Linked DNA regions of Lepisosteus oculatus. The protein of the gene in region 3 purifies or fractionates together with the protein of the main gene of each other region. This does not show direct contact. Links are inferred from orthologs where the notes say so. Each region holds a gene or a part of one and is shown on either strand. Other genes may lie near its edges. The genes, in order: ppp6r3, dicer1, aurka and calcoco1a.

Evidence for each region.
Region 1: the proteins of aurka (region 3) and ppp6r3 purify together in Homo sapiens (affinity purification with mass spectrometry; 6 studies listed by BioGRID and IntAct, counting the BioPlex papers as one, with this or other methods). This does not show direct contact. The link is inferred for Lepisosteus oculatus from reciprocal best matches to the Homo sapiens genes AURKA and PPP6R3.
Region 2: the proteins of aurka (region 3) and dicer1 purify together in Homo sapiens (affinity purification with mass spectrometry; 4 studies listed by BioGRID and IntAct, counting the BioPlex papers as one, with this or other methods). This does not show direct contact. The link is inferred for Lepisosteus oculatus from reciprocal best matches to the Homo sapiens genes AURKA and DICER1.
Region 4: the proteins of aurka (region 3) and calcoco1a purify together in Homo sapiens (affinity purification with mass spectrometry; 3 studies listed by BioGRID and IntAct, counting the BioPlex papers as one, with this or other methods). This does not show direct contact. The link is inferred for Lepisosteus oculatus from reciprocal best matches to the Homo sapiens genes AURKA and CALCOCO1.

What each region holds. Positions count from the first base shown.
Region 1 is NC_090716.1:11,765,676-11,772,856, reverse strand, and holds the start of ppp6r3 (serine/threonine-protein phosphatase 6 regulatory subunit 3), read right to left. Parts: upstream 3,001-7,181; 5' UTR 2,803-3,000; intron 1-2,802.
Region 2 is NC_090703.1:556,236-564,171, reverse strand, and holds the start of dicer1 (endoribonuclease Dicer), read right to left. Parts: upstream 3,008-7,936; 5' UTR 2,924-3,007; intron 1-2,923. Other genes in the region: clmna (calmin), read right to left, coding at 3,008-3,173, 4,566-4,630, 4,976-5,066, 5,561-5,742, 6,397-7,833. UniProt on the Homo sapiens protein: Double-stranded RNA (dsRNA) endoribonuclease playing a central role in short dsRNA-mediated post-transcriptional gene silencing.
Region 3 is NC_090711.1:2,943,225-2,951,239, reverse strand, and holds the start of aurka (aurora kinase A), read left to right. Parts: upstream 1-5,005; 5' UTR 5,006-5,218; intron 5,219-5,847; 5' UTR 5,848-5,853; coding exon 5,854-5,904; intron 5,905-6,736; coding exon 6,737-7,010; intron 7,011-7,409; coding exon 7,410-7,458; intron 7,459-7,699; coding exon 7,700-7,891; intron 7,892-8,015. Other genes in the region: prelid3b (PRELI domain containing protein 3B), read left to right, coding at 559-678. UniProt on the Homo sapiens protein: Mitotic serine/threonine kinase that contributes to the regulation of cell cycle progression.
Region 4 is NC_090696.1:19,076,444-19,083,912, forward strand, and holds the start of calcoco1a (calcium-binding and coiled-coil domain-containing protein 1), read right to left. Parts: upstream 3,006-7,469; 5' UTR 2,900-3,005; intron 831-2,899; 5' UTR 802-830; coding exon 658-801; intron 45-657; coding exon 1-44. UniProt on the Homo sapiens protein: Functions as a coactivator for aryl hydrocarbon and nuclear receptors (NR). Recruited to promoters through its contact with the N-terminal basic helix-loop-helix-Per-Arnt-Sim (PAS) domain of transcription factors or coactivators, such as NCOA2.

The DNA.
Region 1 (7,181 bases), on a different chromosome or scaffold from region 3:
AAGAGTAAATTACTACAACTCATTCTAAAAACCTTTGGCAAATTGCTTAACAGTATCTTCTCAAAAAGAAAACAATTTTAAATGACTGATAAATTAACCATATCTCAGCCAGTTTTACCATAATATTTTTTCTCAGAATCCCCAAAAGATACAATGTTTATCAAAACAAAAACTGAATAGGACTGCCAAGCAGGACTGGGTATCAATTTTTTTTACGGTAGTTAAGTGATGCAGCTTAGCTTTTCAGCTCTGTCTTTGGGAAGGCAACCAAAAGAATAAAGCAAATACATTCATGAAGGTGAAAGGTGACAGGAGAGAAATCTGGATTTCTCCTGGCCTAGTTTTCTTTCTCATGAATGGTGGAGAGGAAGGAAAGCTTTTAATAGATTCTTCAAGGGGCTGGGCTATGCATAGGTGCTGGACTTGGTCCAAAACCTCACAATCGTAAGACGAGAAACTGCACCTCCTAATGTGGATATTAATGCCCTACTGGACTAAGCTGCAACTTATAACTTTGATAAAAAAAAATATCCCACTAAAAAATAAACTAAGAAATAAACTTCCCTTTTTGGTTCAACAAACATCATTATCCAAACATTTGCTTCACATTCACCACTCTATTAGTGTACAATAATGCTTCACGTAATTTACTTCTATTTTTTATGACTTAAAAGTCATTAAATTATTTCAGAATGCAAATACTATAGTAAATCTGTACCAACTACCAACTTGAATTCTGGGATTTTAATTTCACTTTTTTTGCAGTGGTATCAGCAGAAGAAAGCAAGCACTTGAACTCATGACAGATTAAATTAAAAGTAAAGATGAACAGATCACGACGCTGCTTATTAACGGGTGTCCAATCATTAGAAACTCCAAGACAAACAAATGACAGTTCAATCTAAAAAAAGGTATAACATTTATATTTCATCAAACCAAAAGAATGAAGAGTTTTGCTCATCTTCCATACTTGGCTGTCACATGGTGTGAGATCACAACCTCCAGTCTAAGAGACATGATACTTAGGAATAGTGACTGGTGATGCAGAAGCTAAACGACTTAAGAATTAGGGGCAAGCCTTAATGCAGAATGACGACTCTACGCATATTATGTTTTCCACTGTACATTTTGCAGGCCCTTTTATAGATTCTATTAAAAACACTAACTGTAAAATGCAAACTTGAGTGGGAATCCAAGACATCTGAAGCACTGGTACTCAATACCAGTGCTGGAATACTATTGTACCTGCTGTGTTTTGTTACTCTTGGGCCCTTTATCTCCAGTGCTAATTACCTGTAACCGATCTGCTTACTGATTTAGACTTTTTCTGCATTCAGTCCTTGATTTCAGAAATGCCATCATCACACATCTCTTCATGCAATCTCTTCTCAACCTTTCAATTCAGAAATCGCTCCCTTATCTCTGACTAAACATCTATAGGTGATCAACTGATCGACAGACACGTGGGACCGAGACTATCTGACAACTCCCAGTGAGTCAGGATTTTAAAATAATTAGTCCGTGATCAACACTTCCCTGGACCAAACTCCGAGGAATCCACACACAGGTTATCCAGGACCAGCACCGAGAGACACCGTAAAAATATATTTTTAAAACCAAGGCCTGAGTGCAATAAAAAGCCTAACAAAAAGCAGAAATGACTGGCAGCTATTAGCACAGTGGTGATTAAATGCCCAGCACACACATGCCCAGGTACTCCATGACCAGGACTGAGAATCACTGACCTAAAGCTTGAATGTGATTTGTCTTAATAAGGGACCACTACTACTCTACTAAATCATAAAAAGACTTGCATACAATACTTCTGCAATATAGTCGTCATGTTTGGACAACATTTAAAACGCCCAACATCTTTATGCAGACGAAGCAGTATCTCAGCAATTATAAAAAAGTTTATGCTACATATCTAATCCTCTCCTGTGGGTACGACTTCATTTTCTCAAAATACTATGCCAAATCGGCGCAAGTAACTATATTGTATATAAACGTATATACACATAGACAGTAATTTTAAGCCAGAAATCGTTTCGCTAATTACAAAACTGACCATTGTGGCGAAAACAAAAAGGCACATAATGCAGCTAATGTGGAAGTCCGGTCAACTTTGTTACACGATAAAGGAAGTATACGACCAAAACACTGCTGCAAAATGTTGATGTTGGAAGGTGGGTTCCTCATCTGTCAGGCCCAAGCCTTGAAATATTCAAGTCCCTAAGCGTTATTACATTCAGCAGTGTGGGTTCACGACTCGTGAACTTAGATGTAACATCGCTAAAAAGATTTAAACCCCCACACAACTAAAATGACACTTCGAGAGGTGGAAATAAAAAGCGAGCAAACCGGAGCGATGTTTTACCCAAGTTCGCGTCGCGGCGGGAGGCAAACCGGAAAATCGCCGAATCAAGAAACTGAACTTCCCAAGCCAGGGGCAGATACCCGCACCAGCCGAGCTGGAGACGGATAAACGCGAAAAGCACAAACAGACGATAACACAGCCTGGAAACACACTTCGCGATTACGCCGAGCCGACGGGGGGGGGACGGACAAAACACGAACTTGTCAACCGGCTTTTTCGGCACGCTTTTAACACGAAAGAACCGGAACAGAGCCGGCACAAAGCATGCACACAAACCAGACGAAAGAGTCACACGGCCACAGTCGCACCCGTTCTGAAACTTAATAAAAGAAGAAAACAAACCCCAACCACTCTGACTCTGCAAAACAGCGGAGTTGCGAACTAGTCCTCTCTGACCAATAGCAAGAACTGCATGGACTACGTACCGACAAACAGAGGGGAAATGGCGACCGCCAGGCATGTAGCTTTTGAAAACGTTTTTGCTACGAGCGTTTCGGACATAAACCGCGAAGGAAACGGGGAATCGTATTTTAAAAAAAAATAAAATGTTTACAGCAGGCGGGAAAAATAGATAAGACCATCTACCAGGACCTTCCAAGATGGCGGATCTATCAACTTCAGCGACCCCTCCCCCCATACATAACTGCCACACCTGCCACTCAAGCTGCCAGCGCGTCTGTGATTGGGCTAAAACGACGTCAGTCAAGCTCAGCCTCCCTCCATACAGAAGAGCGATTTGTCGAGCCGACTGTCAATCATATTAGCAGCGTGACGCGTTACGCACACTTCTCTCAGGCGTGATTGGTTACGTTTTGCAGACGGCCGGCACTGCGATAGAAACTGCGGTCGACGTTTGCCATTTTGGTGCCTTTCTTTTTGGAGTTCATCGCGACACGGAAGCGTGGTGTTGGAGCCAAGATGGATCCAGTTTCACACTCGCCTCTGGGCGTTGTAAGCTGATTGGCCGAGGCCGTCGTCAGTCAAACCAGTATCCCGCACGACTCAAAAGGAAGAAAAGTGAATCGCTCCACTTTTGAGGGTTTAAAACACTTCGCAACTTTGAGCGGCCGTGAACTGCACGGCGGCGCTCACTCACCGAGAAACTAACGAGCCCGCATATCGGGGCGAAAATGTCTTACTGTAATAAAATATTGCATCAGTCGCCCTACCTTCAACGCCCCATCCAACTCGCTTTCGGATTCGCCGCGAACGTTTTTCCTCAGTTGTTTTCAACGCCTTAGCAACAATGTGACGTCGCTATGATTGACATGATTGACATTTGCTGCGTCCAATCACCACCTCGGGATGACGAGTACCGGCGAGCCCGATCGCCAATGGTGTGAACGGAAAAGCGGGTTTTGTTGTTTTTTTTTTGACTGATACGGGCCTCTGTCTCTGAGTGCGAGCGAAACTGGTTTGAAGTCAAGTCAGCTAGATGGGTCGGCACTCGCTGGGTCTTTAGGGGGGTTATTTGGTATAGTGAGTAACTAGCCACACACAAGATTAAGTAAAACTATTAACATAATCTACCATAATGAGCGCAACTGGGAAATAATAAAAAAGACGTGTAAATCTCATGAAGCCTGCGAAGTTCTGATGGAAAAAAATACTTAAATTATGATTTAACCCAGTCTAATGTCTTTAAAGAAGAATACCAGATAAATCTGTCAAGTAGAGGTTTAAGACAATTTTGCATGTACATATGCAAAAGACAAAAACACTCCAATACTATTAAGATTCAGACTCCCTTAAGGAACTGACTTTTCTGTGTACTGTATACTGTATATCCTGCTGTCTTCTAAGCTGTATCTTTCAGGTTTAATCTTTAGAATCTAGGAAACCAAAACGCTAACAGAAAACAGAAAGGCAATTGCCCGAACCACTGTTGTGGTAAAACATTTTAAAGGCCACCAGCTCCATAGTTAGGTGCTGAATAAACATTTTATGCAGTTAACTCCTAAGGGCAAAGTTTTTCCCTTCAAATTGCACCGAAACACAATGACCACCATAAAGGAGGAAGAGAACCTTTCCTAGGCAATTATCAGGGTATGTATGTTGTTGAGCTCTACTTTATTATACCTCTGATGAGGCAGCTTCAATAAAGATGCAGTTACACAGTCTCATGACTGAACATTTTTATATTTTCAGATTGAACCTCAATGGCTCCGGCTTTATTGCCATACTTGATGACTATCGGGTCCTGAAGACTGGGACATATTGAACTGCAATCAGTGGTTGTACATTTTGCAATCAAAGTAATTTGTTACAAATGTTCAGTGCCAAAGGATTACAATTTATTTAATAGAACATGTCGGTTGCTGAATTTATCAATAGCTTACAGGTGTTCCTTTAAAACAGGCAATAAAGCTGGTTGTTTCAGGACCGGGTCTGGAGGTCCCTGTTATGGGGACTCAGAAGAAGCATTACTGTGATACTCAAGTATCAGGGTTTACCAGCTCCTGTCCCAGAAGGCTGGTGTGTCAGGAGGTGTTTCAAGTCTCTTGAAAGCAGCTGTGCCCGAAGAGCTAACAGAAGCTTTTAAACTGGCCCATTAAAGCCATTAAAGCAATATTGAGTTGACTCAGGTTTGGTGTTTAAGAGCCCTGTTGGACTGAAAGCCTGTAGACACACTGGTCCTCCAGAATCAGGGTTCAGGAGCCCTGGCACACAGTAGTATATGTCAAATATATGATCAACATGCATTAGGGCACTAGGGAAAATTAAACGTTAACTACAAAGCATTGCCACAGGTGACAAAGGTGTTTCTATGTTCAAATATATTTCTTGTAATATTATCATATTATCAACTCTTTAATACATGTTAAGAACATATAGAGATATTATTTCTCATAGACATCCCTTCATGTCTTCAATCCTTCTTGCTCTGTCACTAAGTAGACTTAATCCTATATGGAAAAAAACCAATGCTTTGGCACATGTAGTCTGGAGGCAAGAAAGGAGTAAGTGAAATCTTCAATTCGGTCTCTGGTGAACAGTGCCTTCATCTCTGTTGCAAGTGTCGCGGGTGGCTCTGTGTGTGTGAGCAGCCAAGGCTCGTACACCTGCTGCGTGCAGTATCCTGTCCCCAGATATGAGGACTGAAGCGAATCTCCACCCCTTGGCCTCAGGAGGGGGCAGCTCTGGCTGACAGCAGTGTGGCCTGATAAAGTGAGCAGTTTCCGCGGACAAATAAAGCCTCACACATGCGAGGGAGGGCTTGCAGCACACGGGCTGTGATAAACAGGACTGATCCGACAGAGCTGACAGCTGCCACGTCACCTGGACACATGTGACTGCTGCCTTCATGAAAAGTGAAGTCGGAAAAGGGCGCTGGACCTAAAGAAAGGGGGAAGTGTAGTGGTCACAGACCAAGAGATGAAGCCATTAGACAGTGATGTTCCACAGTCCTATTGCATAAGGGCATTCCAGGATCTCCCTGGAGCTGAAAAGCAATTCCGTTTGCTGATCTCTCAGCACTGTTGCACTTGCTTTGTGTGTGTTGGCACTAACTACAGGTGCACAGATGTGCGTCGCTTAGATTTACATTCTGCGCCTGTGATTTTCTTGGTGTCCTGTTGCAATGGTACGGTTCTCTGGGTAAAGAAAATGGGCAGGTCTCCTTAACAGCTTGTTTACTTGATTACACTGCAACGCTGGACAAAGCTACATACACAACAGTATGAGCAAGAGCACTGAAGAATAAACCATATAACACTGAAGAAAGGAGAGAATAATCACACCTTACTTGTGTCTTATGTGCGTGCGCTCTGCCAGTTGTTTCCCAGGTGTGCCTGGATATCCCTGTCTTCTTACATCCCTCAGTTGTTGAAATGGGGTCAGCTGCAGTGTGGTGTACCTCAGTGTTGCTGTAGCACACTGTATACTGTGCACACCATAATGCAGGGCAGGAATACTACAGTATGTTCAGAGCAGCGTAAAAAACAAGAACTGGCATCTGACCCTTAGATTATGTGCGGATCAGAAACTGGCGGATTACAAAACCGTCGCTAAGATTTGTGTGCCAATCGCAGCTGTGTTAATCGTTAGAAGCCTTGTATACATGCATTGTAGTGTTGTAAACACTGATTAAATCCAACCCAGCTGTCTGGTGCTGTATTTGCAGTCCTCTAAGGCATTTGTGTGTGTGTGTGTATCCCCCTCAGACAAGGAAGATATTAAACTGCCTTAAATACAGCTTCAGCTGCTCAAATCATTTCTTCTATAGATTCCAAAAAAACAGCATGTCAGAGGACATCGCAGATGAAAACTACAGCATGGCTTCATTGCATTTCTATCATTTTCAGGTCACAATGTAACAAAACACTCTCTGTTCTAAGTGTTATGATATTTTTTTAGTAATCTGTTCCAATATGCACATTTTAATTAAAATAATACATTAGACTAAGCAAAAATATATGTTTGAAAATAAGTCTCCTTTTTAAAGTAAGCATCTGGTCTAAATATATATATATATTGCAACGTGGTTTTATGGCAAGCACTATGTATGAAATATTCTGGGTCCTCTGGGAATTCTGAGTAGTGAATTCTTATCCAGATGAAATGCAAACCTTTCCTACTTACCTTTGTAACAGCTGGTTAAAATCAAGACTGTCATTTTCACAATAAGTCAGGCCTGTAGAGGAGAGAGACCCTGACATTTCCCTATGGGATTCAGCTACAAGTACAATGCATCATTAAATTTAAATAAGTATTCTTGATTATTGCACACCTGCAGGAACAGTCTATTCATTTAGTTATCACCCTAACCATTTCACACACTATCAACGTACAACTATTAAATACA
Region 2 (7,936 bases), on a different chromosome or scaffold from region 3:
GGAAATTTCCTTCACAGGTTCTCCAGCCCAGATGGGATCCAGATCCTGTTGACAACCGAGTCTGCGGTTCGAGTGGAAGGAAAAGATCGCTGGATCCACGCGCCACACTGCCGACGAGCCTCATCCCCATTTACAGACTCAGAATGAAATCATTTCTGTCAATAATGATAATTGTTGCTGTAGAACTATGTTCCGCAGGGATTAATGATCATCTCTCCCACAAAGGAGAACATGGAATTAATTCCTTTTTAGGCCTCTCCTATCTGACAGCTAAGAAAACCAACCAAAGTGCCTGCTGTGTGTGTGCAGCATTACCCAAATATGTACAGGGAGGACTTCCTATGGGAGCCATTCCTTGGCGTCTCGAGGAAGTCATAGGCATGATCATTTGGAGGGATAATTTAGGAGATTTTAATATGACAAACTATGGGGGTTGCCATAACACGACTTTAACCTGCACAACATTACAGTATCTACAGGAGCGAGGCTTAGAGCCCACGAGTTTCACAGGCTCTTACGCTCCTAAATATAACAGAAGCCATACACCACCATACCTGACTCTAAATAAGGAACGTGAGGGAAACATATGTTTTCAGCACACTAATGGTCTGCACTTGGTTGGATGGAGTCGTTGCAACCTTACCATCGCTGCAAATATATCCACCTCTACCTTCCAAATTCCAGGATGGGATCGGCACACCCCACAATTCGGTATAAGTTTCTTATTTTCAGAGGCATGGGGAGCGCCAAACGGAACATATTTCATTTGTGGAAAACGAGCCTACCCATGGTTGCCAGCCCAGTGGTCTGGCTCATGTTATTTAGGATATGTGGTTCCTCATATCCGTGTTCAAACCCACACCCCCTTCGGACCTAACCACAGACCACAAAGAAAATTGGCTGATTGGGAATATTATTTAGGTATAATATTTCCACAAGCCGGCATGAACTTTCTGAGTCGAGAGTTAATTCAAATGGCTTCGACTTTAGAAGAATTAGCAAATTCTACCTCATCTAGTCTGAAGGCTGTTAATGATGAGATGGTAGCCCTCAGAACAGTGGCCATGCAGAACCGACTAGCTTTAGATTATGTACTGGCGGCCCAAGGAGGAACTTGTGCAGTAATTGGCACTGAATGCTGCACATATATCCCTGATAATTCTGAGCACATCTCAGATCTGGCCCAACACATTTACAATGAGGGACAGAAATATCAGGACTATTATACTGAAAATTGGGGAATTGGGTTTTGGGTAAAGTCTGTGTTTGGGGCCTGGGGTGGAACCTTTTTATAGTGTTTATCTGTAGGAGTAGTATTGTTTATATGTATAATTGTAATCATCACGTGCACAAAAACATGTATCACATCTTGCCATAACCGTGGAATGTACAATGTCATGGCAATACATACCTGTTCGCCAAGAAAGGAAAGATCTGCCCTGACATTGTATGTATAAAAATAGGCTACACTGACGTATGCCATATTTTATAAGGGGGGAATGAAGAAAGATGTGAAGACGGGGGTTTGAATTTAATCTTTTCTGTAGGGGGTTTAGACTTCCAAGTCACAAGCAGGGGTTTATGGCAGGAAAGGGGGTTAACTGATAAGGATTGCAGATGCCAGCTAGGAACCCCCCTGGGTGTAATGTTAAACTGACCATTTGCCCAGAACATCGTAAACTGGCCAAATACCATGAACCCCCCTCTTTACCATCATACCGAGTGACGTCAGAAACGGAGAAGAAAACACTATATAACCCAAAAGTTTGTAACAGTACGTTGAACAATACTTCGGTTTTGTTGTTTCTTGCGGGAAACAAGACTTCGGCTTTATTGTTCCTTGCATGCAATAAACTCATCTGTTTCACTTCATCTCGGGATCAAGAACCTTATTTCTTCTGTTACAACAAAACCCATAGCTTAAAAATTAATCATTCGGGTAACAGTAAAAAATCTACCATTTTATACAGTTTAATTAGAACTCATTCGTATGAAAATTTAGTTTTTTTCAGATTACTTGTAAAGCACTATATTGAAACCTTTTAACATCCTTTAACAAAAGAAATACAATTAATACATGATCCATTATAAAACCTTTAAAGTTCTGTAGTTCCATTCTCATTAATATAAATTGTACAAAAACAATTTTAAAGCCTGACTATTTTTTAAATATTACCAATGTAATTATACGTAAATAAGTGCATTTTTAGATCTTTAAATATCCCAAGAATTCTGAAATCAAGAATTTATAAACCTTATGACGAAAGAAACAATAAAAATAGAAATGAATACAGTATTCATTCTATATATTTACATTTTATGTAAAATTATTTGCGACACAAAAAGTTCCATTATTTTCTTCATGTTTGGCAAAAAAGCAATTATAAATTAAACACTCTCTCACACTAAAACTTGCTTGCCTAATTTAAAATGCAAAAGAATGCACAGACCAAGACTGTATTTACTTTGTAAGCAAAGCAAAAGAAGAGGCCCAGCCTTTCTCCACTCTAAATACTGTACTGTATCTTTGGCAGTTTCTGTCTATAGAAAATGTAAGCAGCACAAGTATAGGAACACAGAGACTGATGTGGAGTCCATGGACTAATGCTTTAAAGTGGCACAAGGTGACATAACACCTTGCATATTTCAAAACTGAAACTACTGCTGCAATATCCACTGGTGAAAAAAACTGTACCATCCTTCCACTTAGAATGACTGGCTCTTTTACAAGCAATAATAATTATTTATAAACTACAGAACACTGTAATAAAAGACTTTCTAAAGGCAGTAAACCGTGTGCAGCGCTGTTACTGTACCATCTAGTGACTCCTTGCAGTCTAGTGTCCTTTCAGATTCCAGTTGGGCTACGAAGTCAGTAATAAGTTATAAAGTAAAAATAAAACAAAAATGCATATGTACAAACATGAGTAGATTAACATTCTGTGCTCTTGATTGTCCTCTGTCGATTGTGACCTTCCGTGAAGCCTGTAACATGTAACAGAGCTCCTCATTTCTTCAGTGCAAGGAGAGCATGTGGCAGAGCTTCAAGGTCCAGCTGGGGGATGAGAAAAAGGCAATAGAGGAGGATCCACAGGAAGAGCAGCAGCTGCATGCAGTCCTCCGAAGAGCTGACAGGCGTCTCTGGCGAGCTCTCTGAACCGCTGTACTCCTCTCTGCAAGATAAGAGAGCTGCCATTCAGGCAATGTCCAGGGGTTCATTCACCCTGTGATGAAGGAGGTGATGAGCCTCTGACTCAAGCATGGTGATTGCAACACCATGAGGCAGTGCAGACCTCTGTATCTGAGATCCTCCAGCAGCACAGTGAGAACTTTAACTTACAAGTGGTTGTCATGGGAAAAAACGAAAGTAGACAACACCTGGTAATATCTAATTTGATGAGTGTACAATATTAACACACACAGAAAGCTTGTGGAACAGAACAAAAGGCTCACTGAATGTGAGCACAAGGTGAGTAACGATGATTTCTTCAGGCTCTAAGAGCTACTTCCAGATCCAGGACACCTGTAAGTGTACGAGTCACATTTTTCAATACAGAATTGCAGAATTCACTTACCGAGTTAAGAGTACTGGATTTGTTGAGACTCTCTGAACTGTTAATACCACAGAGCCTATTGTGTCATTCTGTATTCATTCTGACCTGCTACATGACACTGCGTGCTGCTGGAAGACTGTCTTTCTGTGCTCCCACTACAAGGGGCACAACCAGCCTCTTAGGCTTCCTTGGTGAACCCTGTGCTCTCTATCTTTGCCTTAATCCTTAACTGTGACTGACTCGACCTATCTAGCCTCTACTGTTGGAAAAAGATACAGATAAACTGTTCATCTTCTTACTATATCCTTCAAGGTCCAATTTGTTTTGTACTCCAAACAAATTCCATGCATGACCAAGCCTAAACCATTATATTGTGAATGTGTAAAGCGCTCTGTGACAAACTATTGCAAAGGCAATTAAAGCAAATAAAAGATTGACTGATTAATTAATACAGCAGCCATTTTGCACTTCCGGATCTGAACATTAAGGTGGCATCTAGATAAGTTAATAATTTAAAGTAAGATGAAATATTTAATAAAATGTATAAATTATGTGAAAAGCCTTAAAATAATCATAAATCAATCAATAATCACAATGTAATTGTAATATTTGTCTAATGATTTTTAGTATTTGTTTCAGCAACAGTCTACAACAGGCGGAGTGGTGGCACTTTTGCTAAAGATCTATGCCAGTGGCTGGAAGGTGGCTGGTTCAAATCCTGTGGCCGACAGAGGAACTCTTCTCCGTTAGGCCCCTGAGCAAGGCCCTTTACCCCAACTGCTCCAGGGGCTGTACAATGTACAATGGCTGACCCTGCGCTCTGACCCCAAGCTTCTCTCCCTGTCTGTGTGTCTGTGTCTCATGGAGAGCAACCTGGGGTATGCGAGAAGATGAATTCCTAATGCAAGACAATTGTATGTGGCTAATAAAGTGAGGTGATGTGATACAGTATACAATGATAAATGTGGGCAGAATTACAGTACAATGTTTAGGCGTCTTCATATAAAATACCTGGTATCAGAACTAACTGTCTGAATTGTCTCACACCCTTTCGCCTTGATCTTCATGCTTGTCTCCTGTTAAGATAAAAAAAAACACCTGTTCATTTCCTTTGCATGCTTCGTGTTAAATGGAGACAACTTGGCACAGATGTGTTGAGTTTTTCCAAGTCTGAAACTGTAGAGGTAGATAAAACAACTGCAATATGTTCTAGATTTAATCTCCACACAAGCCAATGAAATGGTGAACCTTTCTAAAAAACTAATTTCTACATGCATCTCTACATTCAGCTAATGGAGAAGTAAAATCTTCCAAAAAAGTTAAAGGTTTCTTTATCACACATTGCTTAAATTGCACATTATAGGGAGATATTTTAAAATGACTGAATTCTTTCTTTAAGGCTGGGTTTCTTATTAACTTACCTTAATGTCCTCACTGTCATCAAGCTTCCTCAGGTATAGCATGTGAGAAAGGTGGCTTTCTCTCAGTGAATCATCACACGGTGCCGCTGTGCTGCTCAGAGAGAATAAATGTATTTAATGTTTTCCACCACTTTACTGAACTACTCTTTCATTTTTACTGAAGGGGGAAATGGGAGCAAATGCTGCTTTTGACAAAAGGCTAAAAAAAGTATCCTGTTGACTGTGACTGATTCCGGTAAAAACCCTGACATGAATATCAACAGACCGCAGCAGCTGTCACACCGCATGAGCCAAAGGCGCAGAGCAGTAGAGTAACACCTGCTGGTGTGTCCAGCATGCACACTCCTTCCTTTTGACTAGGATACTGCAGATTAAGGCCATGAGCTCGTGTGGCACAGACCAAATTTTCAGTTCCAAGTAGGCCATTAAGTTCAAAGTATCTTAATAACTAAATGTCATTTTAAGGCACAGCTAATATAATTAAATATTACCTTATCTTTATATTCATCAATCACCAGTGAGACAACATTTCTTATTTATACCATGTAGGAGAATATTATGTGTTACATCAGATAACTGTGGTACCTCGGTAAGTCTGTGCTTTCTCCAGCAGCAGTATGTCCTTTTGTGGCAGTAATAAATTCACAGCTGATCTCAGACACATCTGATTCTACATCTTCTAAATCCCAGAAGTCCTCTTTCTGTTGCTCCTTCTTATCACAATCCACACCTCCTGGCATTTTATTCTCAATCTGTTCTCCTGCATCCTGGCCATGAATAAAGAGAGAGCAATCACAGCCTGCAAGGACTCAGCCAGAGGGGAAGGACATTAAGTTAAGTAAAGAAGGGAAACAGCACAGGTGTCACACAGGCTACATAATCGAACTGACATACCTCAACACTGAAGCTTCAGGAACATCAGTTTAAATTTACAATGCATGTTGTGATGAATTATTAGCTACCAAAAAGTTTTACCACCACTTTCAGTACATTTCAGCAGTAAAAAAGGTTGGTTGGTGATAGTCAGGAATTCATACAGTATTATTAAATAAATAGTACAACCCTTCTAGTTTTATAATAGCCTGCTTAAAATAATACAACTTCCATATAATACCACTCTTGTTCCCCACTAAAGGAAAGATACATATGAATGAAAATGTGTAAAAATTCAAAGATACATTTAAAAATATTTAACTTTACTAAGTAAACTAAGGCATCTGTTACTCATTTATTACAATACATTCATCCTTTGAATATTCCCCTAAATAAGTGAGCTTAACAGGTAGCCGATTAATAATAAATCATTTTTGAATAAAAAGTCAGACAAATCTTTAAAACAAGATGCAGCACATTAACAACATGTAATCTTATTCCCTATTTCAATAATAATAATAAATACTTAATTCCAAATCTCTGCATACCTGATACTGACTGGAGCCTTGGCTTTGCTCTGCAAGACAATCTCTGATGGAGTCTGACAGCCTGTCTGTGGACACTTCCCCGTCAGTACTGACCACATACTCGTAGTGGTCCTCTGTCCCCCTGTCTTGCTGTGCAGACATGGACCCATGACAAGACCTTTCTGTGACTCTGTTAAGGTGCTCCAGATCAGCATGAAGTTCTGTTTCTAGCATGTCTGGGTGATTCCCTGTGCAGGCTTCTGTGTTTCTATGGTGATCGGACTGTGCTGGAGCACTGTCAGAACCTAAAGATGGACCAGATAGAAGCTGCTTTCTTTCAGTGACCGGCTTTGAAAATGCTCCAGAAACATTTGATACGGCTTCTTCATAGCAAGGGTAGTACACCATGTCCACAGGTAAAATACTATTTTGTCTAGCATTATATACCACACTTCCATTCATTTCACCAGGTTCATTAATGCAAAGCAGCTGGGTGGTGCATTGAGTTTCAGGTCTGGTGCATGCATCTAGTTTCAGCCCTTCCTGATTCCTTTCTTTGTCCTGCTCTGAAGGGACAGTATTCCCACACAAGTCAGCACTGGACGAAGCCATAAATGAGGGGACTATCTCCTCTAAACTGTGATGCAACAGGCAATTCTGCTTAAGCGCAGTCTCCAGTCTGTCCTGGGCTTCACTGGGTGTGCTAATCTCCTCTTGACCACTACAGCACTCTGACTGACTTGCATTTTCAGCATCATTCAAATCCAAGATGTATCTGTATGCATCTTCTTCCTCAGACAGAAGCTTGGATTTCATGTGAAAGCTATCCACAGAACTTTGTGAGAAAGTGCCTTCATCGATAAAAAGGTCAGAAAAAATGTTGTCTTCTGCAGCATTGTCTTCTAGTGGAGTTTCCGTGCCCTGGATATAATCTTTCTTTACAGTTTTTATTGATTTCTCAGGGGAGCACTTGCCATTGGGATCAAAAGGAGGATCGCTTTCATTGAGGCAGCTGCTGCTTCTGCTGTCGGAAGACTGTCCTTCTCCATCCAGCGGCATGGACTCACTCGCAATCTCACTCAGCGAGTCCGGAGAGTCAAGCACTGAGTCCACGAAGGAGGGTTGCGGGGAGCTCGAGCTGGACACTAGGAAGGACATCTCAGAGCACAGCTCCAGGGGCAGTTTTCCATTCCCGGCAGATACTGCGGAGCTGGAGGTGGACTCCGAGGAGTCGTCTCCGTGGGCCCAGGGCTGACAGTGCCCACCTCTGTCGGGAGATGTGTGTTCTGGATCATCTGATGCAGAGGAGATGAATATCTTTGGTGGGAGCTGGACCCAATCAGTTCTCGCGACACAGGAGCGCTTCCCACTCTTGACTCCATTTATTCTCTCTTCCTTCAGCTCAGAGCTGTCTGTTGCAGCGGAAACCGATATTTCAACCAATTCAGAAACCTCCTCCTGTGAAAAGAATAAATACATTTTTAAAATTATTTTTAAAAATCACATTATGCCTTTGACAAGAAGACTCTCAGACATGTCGAATTGAAACCATTTGCAAAGA
Region 3 (8,015 bases):
TTATGTAACCTGCCGCGCCTCGGGAAGGTAGTTTTCTTCGAGCGGTGCTCTAACGAGTTGGGCGGAGTAGGTACCGAGCTAGTTTAAAATGTACCTTCTTTTTAAAAACGCGAACTCCTTCGTGTCAGACCTGACCTGCAAGGCGTTTGCTCCCGCGTGTTGGTGGACGAGGGTGCGAGACCCTTTAGATCTTCAGTGTTGTGCGTCCCTGTCTTGTTACATAAGACATTGGTTGATTTGGACGAGAGGCTCATTTACAGGCCCCATCCCCAGGATCCTGAGAAGTAAGGAATTTTAGACTGGGATTATCTTTCGTGCTGTGTGCTGACTTGTCGGGTGTGGAGCTTGTTCTCCCTGCTCCCTTGGGCTGAGATCTGGCAGGGGGAGAAGGCGATGTCAAACCTTACTTTCGTGTGCACATACAGTGCCCGCTGCCTTCCCCTCGTGAGTGTACCTGTGTGTGTGTTCTCGCCGCGTGTTCCTTTCCTGCAGAGTAGCATTGCATGTGCCTGTCCGCCTGTCCCCTCCGCTGAGGCGCGCTTGTCTGTGCTCCTGCAGGGCCGCGAGGCGATGGAGTGGGTCATCAGGCGGCTGAACTCCGAGATCGAGGAGCTGGCGGCGACCGCCCGCAACACCATCCGGACGCCCATGGCTGCTGCCGCCGTTACTGAGAAATGACCCCTGAGCCCGGGCCCTTACCAAGGGGCGCATCCTCCTCTCGCCAGCACGGCCTCCCTCTGTGTCGCCGCAGACTAATTTATTGTGTGTTCACGCCGACGGGGATCTCCGATCGCCTCTCTGTCCCTCCTGCGCTCGAGGGCACTCTTGATCCAGTGTGATCCAGCCAGGTGTGACACAAAGGGAGGCTGTGGAAACGTATTTATTGCTTGGGCGGGCAGCCTAAGACTCTGGATTTGGTGCCGGTCCTGCGAAATCTGGCTCGTTCGTTATTCTTTTTTGTTCCTTTAGGTCAAAACTCTATAAAGGTTTGTGGGGAACCTGGGCTCCCAGCGGGGGGGGGCACAGGTACTTTCCTGACGGCGCCGGTTCAGACTGAGCTGGGCTGTGACCATCCTGCCACCCCCCAGCAAGAAGGTTTTGTGAACTGGACCTCCTGCAGCTTGTCCGTGGTGCTGTCCGGGTCCAGAAAGAGAGGGATTTGGACTGCTGGGACCCGGCGGTTCTGGGTCAGAGGCAGTGGCGAATGCCGTCTCAGCCCTGGGCTAGAGGGGTGGGGAGGAGAGAAGGGATTGGGAATGCAAACAAAAACTACAGACCAGGTCTGCTGTCAAGGGTGAAGGATATTTATTTATTTTATTTGTAGAGGTAGCGATTTAGCACTTGTAAAGATTCTATTTATTTGAGCCACGTTCTCGCAGCTGACTGCTCCTCATCCAGAGTCCTCCTCTGAGGGCCTGAAACGGGCCCTAGCACGCCGGTTCAATCCGGCAAATATCTCAATACTTGAATGTCAAGTACTGTACGTTTCTCTTTTGGAGTATTAACTGTTGTACCAGTGGAGGAGACCACGGGAACAGAGAGCGGACCAGGGCCGGAGGGCGCGCAGTGGTGCTGTGCACGGCTGGCGTCTCTGAGCTCAGCTTGCGCTGCCCGGGGTCGGGGGTCAGGGGTCGGAGGTCGGGGTGGGGGATCCTTCTTCAAAAGGTTTACTTGCTGAAGCGCTCCAGGAAAGAGGGGGCGCCGCCCTGGATAAATGCTGGCTTTGGCAGTGCCACAAAAGCGTGCGTAGGTCAGAAAAAGGAAAGGGGCGTCTTTGTCTTACACGCACAAGAAAGAAAACCCACGAGTGGAGAGAGGGTACTGAGAAACCAGAGATGGGGGAGGGTGGGACTTTTTGCTTGCTGTACAGTAGGAGTTTAAAGGAATTGTGTATCTTTCGAATGTTCATAACTTTTCTTGTTACCCTGTCATGTAACAAAAAAAGTCCTAGTGTGTTTGGACATTTTTGGAATGTATTTGACCGAACTTAGTGACAAGAATTCAGTGATTGCAGAACTGAAGTCATTTCCGCACTGTGAGCCCTTTTGATTTCTCCGCGTTGACCTGCCATGACCCTGAGGGCATTATATTACATTTGGTCTACATCTGTCTGTAGGAAACACACTACCCACCTCACTTCTTCATGGTGTACATGCTGCCTAGGCTGTGCTTTGCCACTAGACTCGCATTGCCCCTTGTCTAAAAGCTGAGCTCAACAATGTCTGATCCTCTAGGAAGATGCGCTGCTGAGCCACAGTGGCATCAGAGATCTAAACATAACTGGAAAGGTTTGATGCTTTTTCAACACAAGCATAACCAGCCTGTGTCACATTGCATGCACCTGACCTTCTGAGAGACCTGCAAGGCTGTCAAGCTGTTGCAGTCCTTCTGTCACCTGCCAGCTACCTGTGGTGTGAGTTTTATTCGGAAGAGCGAGTGACGTCACGCTACAGGAATGCGCAGAGCTGTTGGGAGTAGGGAGCGGTTGTCAGGATGAAGCTGGTGGAGAGGTGGGGAGCCCGAGTCTTTAGAGTGATGCCATCTCCTGGTTTCTCCAAGTCCAGGCCCGTCGAGCTCCAGCCCTCGCCGTCCACCTCCGCGGGGCGTTTTTACAACAGCCAGCTCTGCGGTCACCTTATCCAGACTGCAGGCAGGGGCCGCCTGCGGACAGGTGCTGTGGCAGCGTGGAGACCGAAGGGTCACGCAGCACGCCAACGTGTGCTCTCCTCCACGACCTGCACAGCGACATGGATGCCGATTCAAGGGAGCATGGATTTTCCCCGTGCCTCACCCAGGGTACCCATGAAACTGCTCGGGGGCTTTTGCAGGCGAAGGTCTTTATTTGGAAAGATCTAGTTCTTTTTGTACAAAATTCCACGATTCCCCCGTGCAGACTCGATAACGGACTCCCACCCGTTTCTTCATCCTGTACGGGGCTGCAAAGAAAAAGTCCCGAAAACGCCCTCTCTGCCGGTCTGGCTTGGTAGAGCGATGCATGTCGGGAAGCTGGTGTAATTAATCCTGTCCTGAGCGCCGAGTTGCTGCGAATCTGTAATGCATGAATGCTGACTAATTTCTACATGCAGGAGTCTTTTACTTTTGTACTAGCGGGTGTGAAGCCCGAGACTAACTTTAACTCTGACTTCAGAGGAGTCCCCCTCCGCCCGCGGGAGTCATTTCCTTGGAAGAGTTTGTGTGAGCCGGAGTGTCGTGACACGGCGGCTGTTCTCGCCTGATCCAGCGCCGGCCTGCCTTGCGAGTTGCCGTTTCGAGAGCTGTTGCTCCGGTGAAGGAGGATGATGGACCTGGAGGCGAGCTCGGGTGCTGTGCTGTGTGGCAGTCATCTAACCTTCGCTATGAGCTCCTGGATGTGTGGCACTACTGAGGGGCCTGGGTTGTGACTTTTTTTATAGGTACACAGCATTTGTGGTGCTTTATAATGTTTTTATACCAATAGACTATGGTTTAAAAGAACTATCAGCTAGAATGTGTGCGGTGGGGGTGAGGGGGTAGGATGCATTTTGTTAAGGCAGGAGAAGGGTGTTTGGTGAGGAGTGAGTGCGGGTCTGTGCTGTGTGTGATGGAACAATACCGATGTCAACAACATGCTTAACGAACTTGTAACAACTATATGCTTAATAAACTTGTAACAATTTAGCCTGGGTGTTTCTTTCTTCACAAGTGGGAGTGGATAGTGGGGAAAGGATAAGGAGCTGCACTGGTCAGTTCTAAGGCCGGTTCTTTAGGGTCACAGGAGTTTGGTTTCTTATTTTTGTTCCCACTCATTATGACACCAATTCCTCCCGGAGGAACTCAAATTGGTGCTGTTGGATCTGGTTGCTGGGACTGGGAGAAATGGGGGTGAGGCCGATGTTCTCTGGAGACGAGACGGCTTTGGTATCCGTCCTGCGTTCCTGCTGCTGTGAGACGTGTGGCTCAGGGATGGAGCCTGGGCTCCCAAATATCTGCCAGAGCTCGTCTGAAGACGCCGAGTGACCCTGCAGGCCGTCTGTGTCTCTGATGAAGACCAGTATAGGAGGTGAAACGGCCAGGTGGTTGGTGCTGCAGACAGAAGTGTGTTCCTGCAGAGGCATATTATCATTGCTCTGGGTCAAGGAAAAACTGTCCCTGCTATAGCACCCCGTCTCTAAGACGGCCTCAGAGCAGCTGCCCTCCTCTTGCAGTGTCTTCCAGCTCACGCAGTCCTCATCTGTAGCCGGGGGGTCAAAAGGCCTGTGGTTTGGGAGTGACACAGGCTGCTTGCAGGTAACATGTGTTTCTCTAGTGTAAGTACACTGGCTACAGAGACTTTCAGTGAAGACTGAGAGGACAAGATGCATGTCTTCACAAAGGCTGAGGTGTTGACAGTGATCAACTGCGTAACGGCGAAGGGGGCTCAATTGGAAGCTGTGTTTAGTACTCCATACAAGGTGCATGTCTTTCCACAAAGGGTTGTAGGAGTCTGGAACAATGCATGTTACAGAAGCAGATGGCAATAGGTTCATAAAGAAGAACCAGCTGAACGAGAGCCTTAGATCGACTTGAAACGGCACGGGTAATGGGGGAGTGGAGGCACGCTGGGAAATTCTGAATTCAGCCATTCTTTAACCTGGTCCTGAAGGACTTCTCCCTACTGAGCCCTTAATCACCAGGAAATTAAAATAATTATTAATTTAAAAGGATTCAATTTTTTTAACTAAGATTTGAGAAATATGATAAAAACTTATTAGCATGGAGGATTCATTTTTATATTACGATAATAGCCGTATTATCACACGGTCTTGAGAAAATGGTTCTCGCCGCACAGCGGCCGTAGACTTGTCCTTTGGCGACAAGCAGGGGGCGCTGTGGGAAATCGCAGCACCTTTTACACCGGCTCTGTACGGTTGGAAAGGCGGCCCCAGCCAATGGGGAGCAGGGGCGTGGTTTGATCTCGGCCAATCAGACGCGGGGAAGGTTTAAAGGTAGTTAAAAGAGGGAGATTTGAATTTAAACAGATTGTAGTGACGTGCGATAGGAGCATTGCGGCCTGCGGGCTGGCTCGGCAAAAAAACTGTGGGTTAAAGCTGAAAATAAGCTCTTCTAATTCTCGGATTCGCCTGGTAACGTACCTGAAAGGATTTAAAATACAGAGACGGGGCAGAAAGCGCGTTTCGGGTGTGCGAGGAAAAGGAGACACGAAAATCCGTCGTTCGGCCTGAACAAGTAGCTAAAAGCGGTACGTGAGAGCGCTTCTGATACTAACGTGGCCTTTTTTCGTTTTATCGTGATCATCTGTCATCTATCATGATCATATGTCAACCAGTTGTGGCTTAGAAGTCTTGGTATATGTAAATAATGTGCTTGTTATTGTTTCCGGTCCGGCGTGGGATATGTATCTTTTGTGGAGAAATGTAGTTGCTAATCAAATATTTTTCAGCTGTATGTGTAACAAAACCGTGAGTGAAACGGAGGTGGCAGTGTCGTGTCCATTCAGGCTTTGGGGAAAAAGGTTCAGAAAAATGCGTACGGTTTCCACGTCGCCATAGGAGACGCGTTTATACACCAAACGATGCGTCTTGAACAGCGAACTAGCCGAATTCGCTTATCTGCAGCGGGACGCCTTTCAGACGTCGATTAAAATCGTGAAGATTATCTGCAGGTGTGTCGCCCTGGGATTTTTAGTTGTGGTGGCGATCGTGTTTTATTTTTAAAATAAATTGGGTATGCTGGTTTGTATTCTAGATCCCTTAGTCGTGTATTTTTAAAGGAGACAGTCGACTTTATTAGCGTAACTCGTCTTGTTTTAATTAAGAACGCGTATAAGAGTTTGAACATCTCTCTTTCCTTCATCGCTCCTTTCTCCAGTGATCCATGGATGCGGCCAAGACGGCGAGGAGGTCGCAGTGTCCTGCGACTGCGAAAGTAAGCTGTCGCCGGTGTGAGAGCCGCCGTGCGCCTCCCGGGATCGCCGCTAGGGGGAGACTCGTACCCACTTCCGAATTCCTGATCGTTTAGTTTCTGAATGCCCGTGCTGCAGAGGGGCCAAAGATCACGTGTGCTCCTCGGGAGGGCGCAAATGCAGGGATAATTTCCGCTTGCACACAGTTATCCCCTCCACCCACACGGGGGATCTTTTGTCTTGGGTATAACCATGAAAAACCGATTCTCAGGGGGGGAAAAAGTTCTGATCAGTGCTTGCAATTGGTCCGGTGGTTCCTGGTCCTGGTGACCTGCAGGTTTGTGTTCCAGCCGAGCCCTTAGTCACACAATCAAACCCTTCATTCGCTTAATAATAAGATTAATGTGATCTGTTTGTTCCCGGGTCTTACACATGCTGGAGCTTTAACTGTTGTACTTTGTAGGTGAGAGAAAATCCCTAACTAAAAACACAATGCAAATATTCACCGGAAGCAGCTCATTAGCATTAGATCAGGTAGGGCTGTGATTATCTAATTACAGTGGGATGGAATGAAAACCGGCTGGTGTGCAAACGCCTTACCTCTCTAGTCTGATCTCCTTAGGTGACAGTTGTTTCTGCTGTGACACAGAACCAAAGCTTAGGAAACTGTGGCTCATTTCCCATGTTTCACTAAAGTTAGCTCTTCCAAGCTTTCTATAATATGTCTGTTTTCTTTCATTCCAAGGAAAGCTTGGTGTTTTGAAACTGCACTGGGCAGGAGTTCTGGAGTGTTGTAGATTAAGGCTACCTGCAGTGTGAAGTGTGGTCCCTGACTCTCCTCTCCCCATGTGTTAGCAGCTCAACAGCGACGGCCCTAAACGGGTCCCCGTGTCCCAGAACAAGCAGGCGGGTGTGTCCACGTCCTCCCAGCGGGCCCTGGGCGTCTCCAACGGGCCGCAGCGCGTCCAGCGCCCCGCCGGGCCGCAGAAGCTGCCCCAGCCTCCGGCCCTGCGCATCGAGGCCTCGCAGGCCTCCCGCGAGAACACCCCCCCGCCCGCTCGGGGCCGGACCACCTCCTCCTCCTCCGCTCCTGCCCCTGTGGAGCCGCCCGCGCAGGAGAAAACTGCAGGTGGGCAGCCCTGCTTTCCCCAGTCTGCGGTGTGACACTGCTGGGCTTGGGCCTGTCTGAGGGAGGGCTGACGGAACATGAGCTCTGGGATAGCTGAAATAGAGCATTACTGGTAACTTTCAGAATAAGCAGCGGTCTTCAGAGCTCCCCGGTACTTGCAGTTCACTTATTTCGATGTGCTGGAGCGAGGAGTGTCCAGTCTGAGACATCGGGGACTCAAGTCAAGACCTGTTGGCCGTTGGGCATAGAGAGGCAGGAGAACGAGCTCTAGATCAGCACAGGCACATGTCAATAAAGGAAATATCTTGGATACATGAAGGATCTGCACACAAAGTCAAATGTTCTTTTACACTAATGTTCAAGAATGTCCCTGTAGTAATTGTCCTTTTTCTTGTGCAGATAAAGCTGTGGCCACTGGATCTATGAACTCTGTCAACTCTAACTCTAAGTAAGAACCAGGAATTGAACTCTTGGGGGTCACATTTTCCGTATTAAAAAAAAATGCATTGTCCTTTTCTCAAGCCAGCAATTAGAATCGATTTCTTTACTTTGCTCCTGGTGCTACTGCTCGTCTTGCATGTGAAGGGGGGGACACTAAACCTAGATCAGGAGAAATTGTTTTTTTTCTAAGCCACTTCTCATATTTATCTAATGGGAAAACTTCCTGAATCCCGTTCCTTCTTCCTCAGGAAGCGCTGGAGCCTGGAGAACTTCGACATCGGCCGGCCGCTGGGAAAGGGCAAGTTCGGGAACGTGTACCTGGCGAGGGAGCGGCAGTCCATGTTCATCCTGGCCCTGAAGGTGCTCTTCAAGAAGCAGCTGGAGAAGGCGGGCGTGGAGCACCAGCTGCGCAGGGAGGTGGAGATCCAGTCGCACCTCAGGTACACCTCCTGCAGGCTCCTTGGGCCTCCCCTCCCGCCGTGGGGAGACGCCCTGTTCACGAGCTTCTCAACATTCCCATGTGGAGAGTGGAGGGCAGTTGAGTGCAGGGAAGTGTCGTCGTTT
Region 4 (7,469 bases), on a different chromosome or scaffold from region 3:
GCCCAGACAAAGGTGTGATAATCCCGTGTAGAAGACCAACCCACCTGCGCCGGGAGAGGGGGAGGCACAGAGACGAGATCAGATTCCAGGACAATAGCTGTGAAACCAGCAGCGACGGTAACGACAGCAGTGCTGCTGACAACAAGGCTCCCTCCTGCCTGATGTGTTTGATTTTGCTGTGCAGTAAAAAGCTCACCCTGTAAAGCCAATGGCTTTATTTAAATCAACACTGACACCTGCCAATTGGTATCTCTCCTTGAAGCCTGGGAGACAGCACAGAGTCTCCATTCACAGAGAAACTGACAATCGGCGGTTTGTGTTTTTCTATATTAATCATGAAGTCAAAACTGCCTCAAATCACAATTTTTTCCACAGTGGGAGAGATGCACTTTTTGGGCCTTTGGGAAAAGAAAAAGGTGAAGGAATTCCCACGTTTCCTGAAAACACGAAATGGATTGTAAAGGCTGAAGGATCTATTTTAAAACGCTAAGCTCTTGCCTTTTGGACAAACATGTTAAAATAGGGAAGTTAATGTTCAGATTGGCTGAAGCTCCACAAACAAAATGTATAATTGGCCAAAAGGAGCCAGCCTAGTTAAAACACTGATGAGGCTGCTGAGGAGGTGGGGGAAGATGACACAGAGGATGAGGAAGGTACCTTGAAGAGGCCTATCCAGTCACTGCTGGCCCAGCAGTGAAGGGGGCTCATGCTGTAGTGGCACTCCACGCGGCTCTGGGGGAAGTAGCTCCTCCCCACATTCCGAAACTCCACCCTCCACTGGGGCGGGGCTGTCGTCTCCATGGCGACTGCAGGGCTCTGGACACACCCACCTGGGGGTGAGGGGAGCAACAGAGGTCGATGCAGGAAGACGGAGAGCGGAAAGCAGGGCACCTGGGTTATCATGCCAACTCAATGGAATACCCATGAGATGCAGATCTATGTACCACATTACCATTACACAGAGCAGGAAGAGAGTTTAAGTACTCTACTTCCCTCCTCCCTCTCTCGCTTCTTTCCAGTTCCCTCTTTATCCCCTTTCCCTTATCTCCCCAGCCCTTCTGTTTTGCCTTGTCTCAGCACCCACTGTCTCTCCCCCCCCCCTCTCCCAGACCCCCTTATCCCTCTCCCTGGACGCTCTCCAGCAGTGTTGGCAGCCTTGCCGTGGGAACTGCTCCTGACTGCCTCTGGCACACCTGGGCCAGGTAATTCCACCAGGCTCGTCCGCGTTCCCTTTGTCTTCCTCCCGTTCTGCCTCGCACACGGGCCTCGGGGCACACCGCAGCAGAGCGGGCACCCTCCATAAAAGCAGCCCTTGTGAATCGGCAGGTCTGTGCTGCTGGTACAATAGCCCCTGTCAGCAGGTGCTTTCAGGCACAGACAGGGGAGGGACCTCTGTCCTCAGCGAGTGCCACAGGGATTGTGCTCCTGCTAGTGGGCCTTGGCTGTACTCTCCATCCTCCGCACCGATCACGAGCAGGCTCAGTCACTCACTCCGGGTGGCAGCAGCTAGGGACCACTCAATCCCGGAACTGCTGTGTGCGCTACACAGCCTCCTGCTGGGCGTGTCCAGCACAGACCACTCTGTACCTGCAGCACTGTGTGCAGGAATGCCCAGCACCCTGGGATCAGACACAAATTTCAATCCTCAAAGACGGCCTCTGCAACAGACCCGTCCCGCCTCCCCCGGCCCCCGACAACTTGAGGCCGCGAAGAGGACAACTGCACACCGCCTCTTCAAACACGAAATTAGATGCCTTTGAATACCCGAAACAGCGAGCCGAAAGTCATGCGACACGGAGAGAGGCAGGGCTCAGGGCTCAAGGTGTTGTGAAACCGGGGGTCCAAATTCTTCTGGAAACCGAAGTCCTACTTTTCTCAGAAAGGGACAGAGCGGGAGGGGGGCGCTGCAACATGAGCAGGGGGACTCAGGGGACACCGCGGGTCCAGCTGACGGAGCATGACTAAGGGAGGGGAGGAGAGGAGGGGTCGAGGGGTTTATAATCATCGGCACAGAAATAAACAACAACTTCGTCCGCCAGAGCACGACACAGACACGCAGGGTGGACCCGCACCTGCGAGAGTCCCGGTCCACGTGTTCCTCTCAAACGCTAGGTGAAGGCAACCATCTCTGCGGAAGCTGAGCTAGTCATCGAGTCACGCAGCTCGCTTTGTCCGTGTACTCGCTTGAGTTTTGCCGACGTGAATAAAATGAATTCCAGCAATATCGCAGGCGCCCGCAACTCGAGTCGTGCGCTTCAGTAGCGCCAGCGACACGACGGCGCTAGACGGGTCACGCAGAACCCACGCTCTCGCCCGCCGCCGCCGCCTGTTCTCAGTCTTGCTCAGGACGGGAGGCCTGTGGTCCACGCAGCTCTAGGTCGCTGTAATTGTTCCCAAGCACTCAGGCCTTCAGTGTGTCGAAGGCCGCGGTTTTGGAGACATTTCAAGTGTGTGCACGGCGTAACACCCGTGAGACAGCTCTTGATGAGGACTGCGCTGATGGAGGTTCATTAATAGTTCTAAAAACACGTCTAACAGAAACATTCTTGGCATCCGGAAAGCGGGACGCATGATTCGGTAACGGTGTACTAAATTGCTGTTTTCGGCTTCGCTGGCAGCAAACCAGTTTAAAATTACTCTCATCCTTCAGAAATTAAGTATACATTTTTTTAACCATGTGCATCGATTCCCATCTGGGATCGCTGTCCCCTTAAGAAACCCATAAGAACTGCGTACGAAAACATTTAAAACCGCACAAGACACATATAATTAAGTTACATTTTTCTCTCTCTCTGAAAATAATAAAAACGCAAAACGAACAGTCAAGTACACTAAAGTAAACACAAGATATGCTTTGTCTTTAACTTGTTTTCCATTCAACTAGTAGATAAAACGTCACCTGTATTTTCTGAAAAGATGTTCAAATGAAGACGCACAGAACTCTTTTCTCAACGACCTCTCTCCGCGTCAGCTGTTCCACTAACCTATAACAATAACAAAAACAGAGACCTGACCGCGTGGGCCGTCACGCTGCTTCCTGGGAAATGTAGTTCTTTTCTGTCTGGGGGACCGACGCTATTGGACACTTTGACTGCAGCTCCCCTGTCACGGAAATGACGCGCTAGTAATCGAACATGCGCTGCAGCCCGTTAGCAGCGATGCATTATGGGGGATGTGGTTTCTGTCCATGCAAACCTTAAACCAACTTCAGGGCTCGCCTGTACAAGCTACAGTTTCCAGAAAAAAATAAATAAATCGGCAGCTTTTGCGATGGAAGGAACAAGATGAAGATTTATAGGCCAGGAAAGATTCCAGATTCAGATTACTGAACTCTACCCCTACCGCCGGCTCACACTGATGTGTTTTTCTCTCATACTGCTTATCTGACTTTTTAAAAGTTGTATGTTATTTAATTGTTGTTGTTGCTGCTGCTGTTCTGTGTTTATGTTTTTGGTGATGCCTTTATTGTCTTTGTATTGGAGGATACGTGTAAATACGCATTTCATTGCACTTGTGCATATGACATAAACTGAACTGAAAGGTTTGACTTGGCTCCCCGCCTTCTGTTTTGATCAGAGCGATAGTGTACTTTATCACACACGTGGACAACATCAAACACATCACTAAAGCTCAACGTTGTACGACGCTGGTGTCGTTTCATAAAGGTTCATCGAGCCTTCCAGGATTCTGAAATGCCAGTTTATTTTCTGGAGCTTAGACGACTAATAAAATCGCTGTTATTTGACCCCTAGTAATGAACTCGGCACCTGACCAGCAGCTGTAGTCTGTAATAGGGGCCGGTTAACCTGCACTGGTGTGTATTATTAAGTTTGGGGGTAGCTGACACGCGTGTGTCGCGCTGACGGGACAACCGCGACAGCTGTTGTCAAACGCGATGCGCATCTGAACACCAGATGGCGGCAAACTTTAATGAACAGCGCGGTTGAGCAAAGCTGTCACCCTGTTCACTGTTTTTTCTTAATACCGGAAGAGACATAAACTGAGGCGGACATTATTATTAGACACATTATTTAAAATGAATCTATTTAACGATCGATGGGGAAGATCTCAGGACTGTAGTTTGAGACCCTTGACGGGGAAGGAAAATCCTGGTTCTTTCTCTCGTTTCTCTGTACTCTCGGGATTGATAGATTTCAGGCTCTTGTGCAGACAGGGACGGCCCTAGTCTTTTGGGGGCCCTGGGTAAGATCTTGGAATGGAGCCCCTGCAGATCATGATTTGTGCAGACACTGCTAGTAACAGCTCCCAACACAACCTTATTTCACTATTTAGAACAATTCAATACATGAATTATAGAACTAGAAAACTTTCACTAACCAGCTTTCAAGAACACATAATACATAAATTATCAACCAGAACGTGGAGCACACATTTAACAGACATAATGTATTTTACAATTGAGAGTAATAAATAGTAACATTAATAACAATACATAATGCTAGAAGGACCTCTGTTACTTCAAAATTATAGCAAATCATGACTCACAAGATACTGCACTGCAACCTTTGTAGAAAGTAATTGTAGAAAAAAATATGAAATTAATAAAAACCAAATGCACTCAATGACAAGGGGGTGAGATCAATAAGGCTGAGCAGAAAGTTTGATAAACATTCTATAAATCATTTTTCTTATATTTTTGCCTCAGGTATGTTTGAATGAGCTCTGAAAAGCACTACTCCTGCTGCTGTCACTGGGAGAGAGATTACAATCCAAAGGGCTACTGGTTTGAGTTCACAAACCCCCCATTTAATGAAATGATAGATAGATACTTTATTGAACCCGTGAGGGAAATTGCAGTGCAACAGCAGCTTAACACACACAACACAGCCACAGTGTAACGAGTTATATAATAATAGTACAATACATACAATACAATACAAGAGTTACTCACAGTCCGGACACACAAAGAACAAACTAGAACAGAACAGTACACAGAAAAATCGTATCACACATATGAATATAAATATAGATATAAATATAATTGTATTGCACAAAAAATGGTTGTAAATGGGAAAAAGAAAAAGAAAGAGAACAGATGTAGCAGTAGATGTGTAGATGTGTTCAGTCCAGAAACAGGTCACTGTCAATATTGCCTCTGCTCAGATGCAAGGTGGATGCGTTGTACAGTCTTATGGCAGAAGGCAAGAATGACCTCCTGTAGCGCTCCAGGAGGAACTACAAGAGGAAATACAGGAGGAACCGCAAGGATAACAATGCATTTTATTTCAATTACATGTAATCGATTGTGCTGAGCAGTCTTTTGTACTGTTCATTCATCTTCACGCTGTTTTTGGCCGGACAGTGCCGATTTTCAGGCGGGCGACCCACATGGTATGTGTACAATCACATCTGTTCATTTCTAGTAAAACACCTCCAGCAGTCTGCGTGTGTAACATGAAAATCTGGCTTGTCTACCGTTCGCTAGTGCATCTGACAGACTCAAAACCAAACGCAGTACAAATGATTACGTTCTTCTGCATATTGTGCACTATTGCAATGACCTGACGTGGTATAGCTCTAGTCTGAGATCGCTTAGCCTGCTCTTCTTTTCTTCAGCTTCAGAAAACACGACGGTCTCCATTATGGCCGCCTTCCATTAGGATGATCCACAGCCACAACAGAAAGAATTCATCGAGCCGAGCCGATGAACAAGACATTGTGTTGCACATTGAGGGGGCCCTAGGCCGTCGCCTGGTTCGCCCCTTTCCAGGGCTGGCTCTGCAGACAAAGCTGAAAGGCGCCTAAATATTCAAAGGTGCATTTAAGACTGGTCTGTCCTTCACTCCCGAAACCACTGTGCACTAGGCGTCCGGTCTGGGCTGAGCTGCTACAGGGAGAGTCGTTTCCCAACTGCATCCGCACCACAGGGCCTGTGGATCTCAGGGCTCTGCAGCAGATCCAGCAGCCGTGGGACTGAGTGTCCGACAGTGAACCTCTCTTCTGGTACAGGGCTGAAGGCTTTCCCTTCTGCGTGCGCGCTTAATTGAGTTAATTGAATCAATTAGCCAGCTGATTGTCGATGGGGGGGTGGAGGACAACCACCCTTGCTCTGGGCAGGCCCGGCTTCTTCCCATGTGCCAGACCTGGGGGGGGGGCGGAGCCCCTTTTGAGTGACAGCTCCCCCCGGTGATAAAGAGCCCAGGAAACGGCACCTCAGTACATAAGCGCTCCGCCGCCGCGGCAGCTAATGGGATGCAGGCAGTGAATGAGCCGCCCCAATAAAGAGCAATGAAGTGGTTTTAACAGAGTCAGTCTGGCTGGGGGAAGCAGAGGCGGGTGGGGGAGGTGTGTGTGTGTGTGTGTGTGTTGGTGATTTACGGTCGGTAAGCTGAATATTACTGCCAGCTCCCTCTGTCCATCCATCTCTACCCCTGCCAGCCCCTCTCTGCTGCTGTGACCGGCATAGGTGAGCGGTAGCAGCTGTTCCTTTCCATGCCTACCTGCTCCATTGCATTCTGCTGGACAGTCCAGCCCACCTCAGGGAAGGCCATCGGTACCTCATGAGCATCCCTGGCCCTCACCTCTGTAACTAGCTGGCCTGCTGCTGCAGAGCGCTGGACTCCCTGATCCCTGCCACTCCAGACACACAGAGCCCCCGGGTTTTTAATCTAACCCCTCTGACTAATCGTTTGCACGGGTGAGCCTTTGTGCGATCGTCTCTGACTCCCGGTAACAAAGGATTTGGTGAGAACATGAGTCTGATTACAGGGGTCAGTCCCTGACCAGGCCGCGAGCCTGTGGAGGAGGCAGAGGTGACAGGACGGACTTCCCAGTGGGACAGATTTTCCTGTCTGCGAGGAGTTTGCGTGGGGAGCCTGAGAGGGAGTGATTGCAGCGTGTGCTGGGCAGAGTTAGAAACACAGGCCAGGCCGCCCCCAGCGACGAGGGAAGTGGGATAACTGATGGAAGTCTTATCATGGGATAACCCCCTCTTCCTTCTCCTGCTGGTCAGCGGGCCTTGCTGATGTTTGGCTTCTCCTTGACAGCTTTACTGCAGGACACAGAGCTGAGAAGTCCCAGAGCCCCAGCCTTTCTGCCACCCAGCTCTCTCGCTCTCTCTCTCTCACACACACACACTACAGAAAACAGAACCCACAGGGAGATCCCTATCTAGCAGAACAGCCTACAGTAATGGCAGCAGAATCAAGCAGGCAGACAGTGCCTCTCAGCACAGTGCAGCAAGAGGTGCTGGAATGAGGCACAGCGGAGTGGTTTGCAACACGGCAGAGCGCTGACAGTATGACAAACTGCCGTGTGGCGTCATTCGGCACCATGCGTCGCAGCCCTGTCCCGTACATACGCGGCGCAGCAGAACGGAGAACAGGCTCGTTTTTCGGTGCAATAAACGTGCATTACAAGAAGGAGTAATAAGATGCAGTCCGCTGAGCGATCTTTATACATGAAACCAGGACGAGACCGGGGGCTGACAGATGGGTTGCTGTCACTGG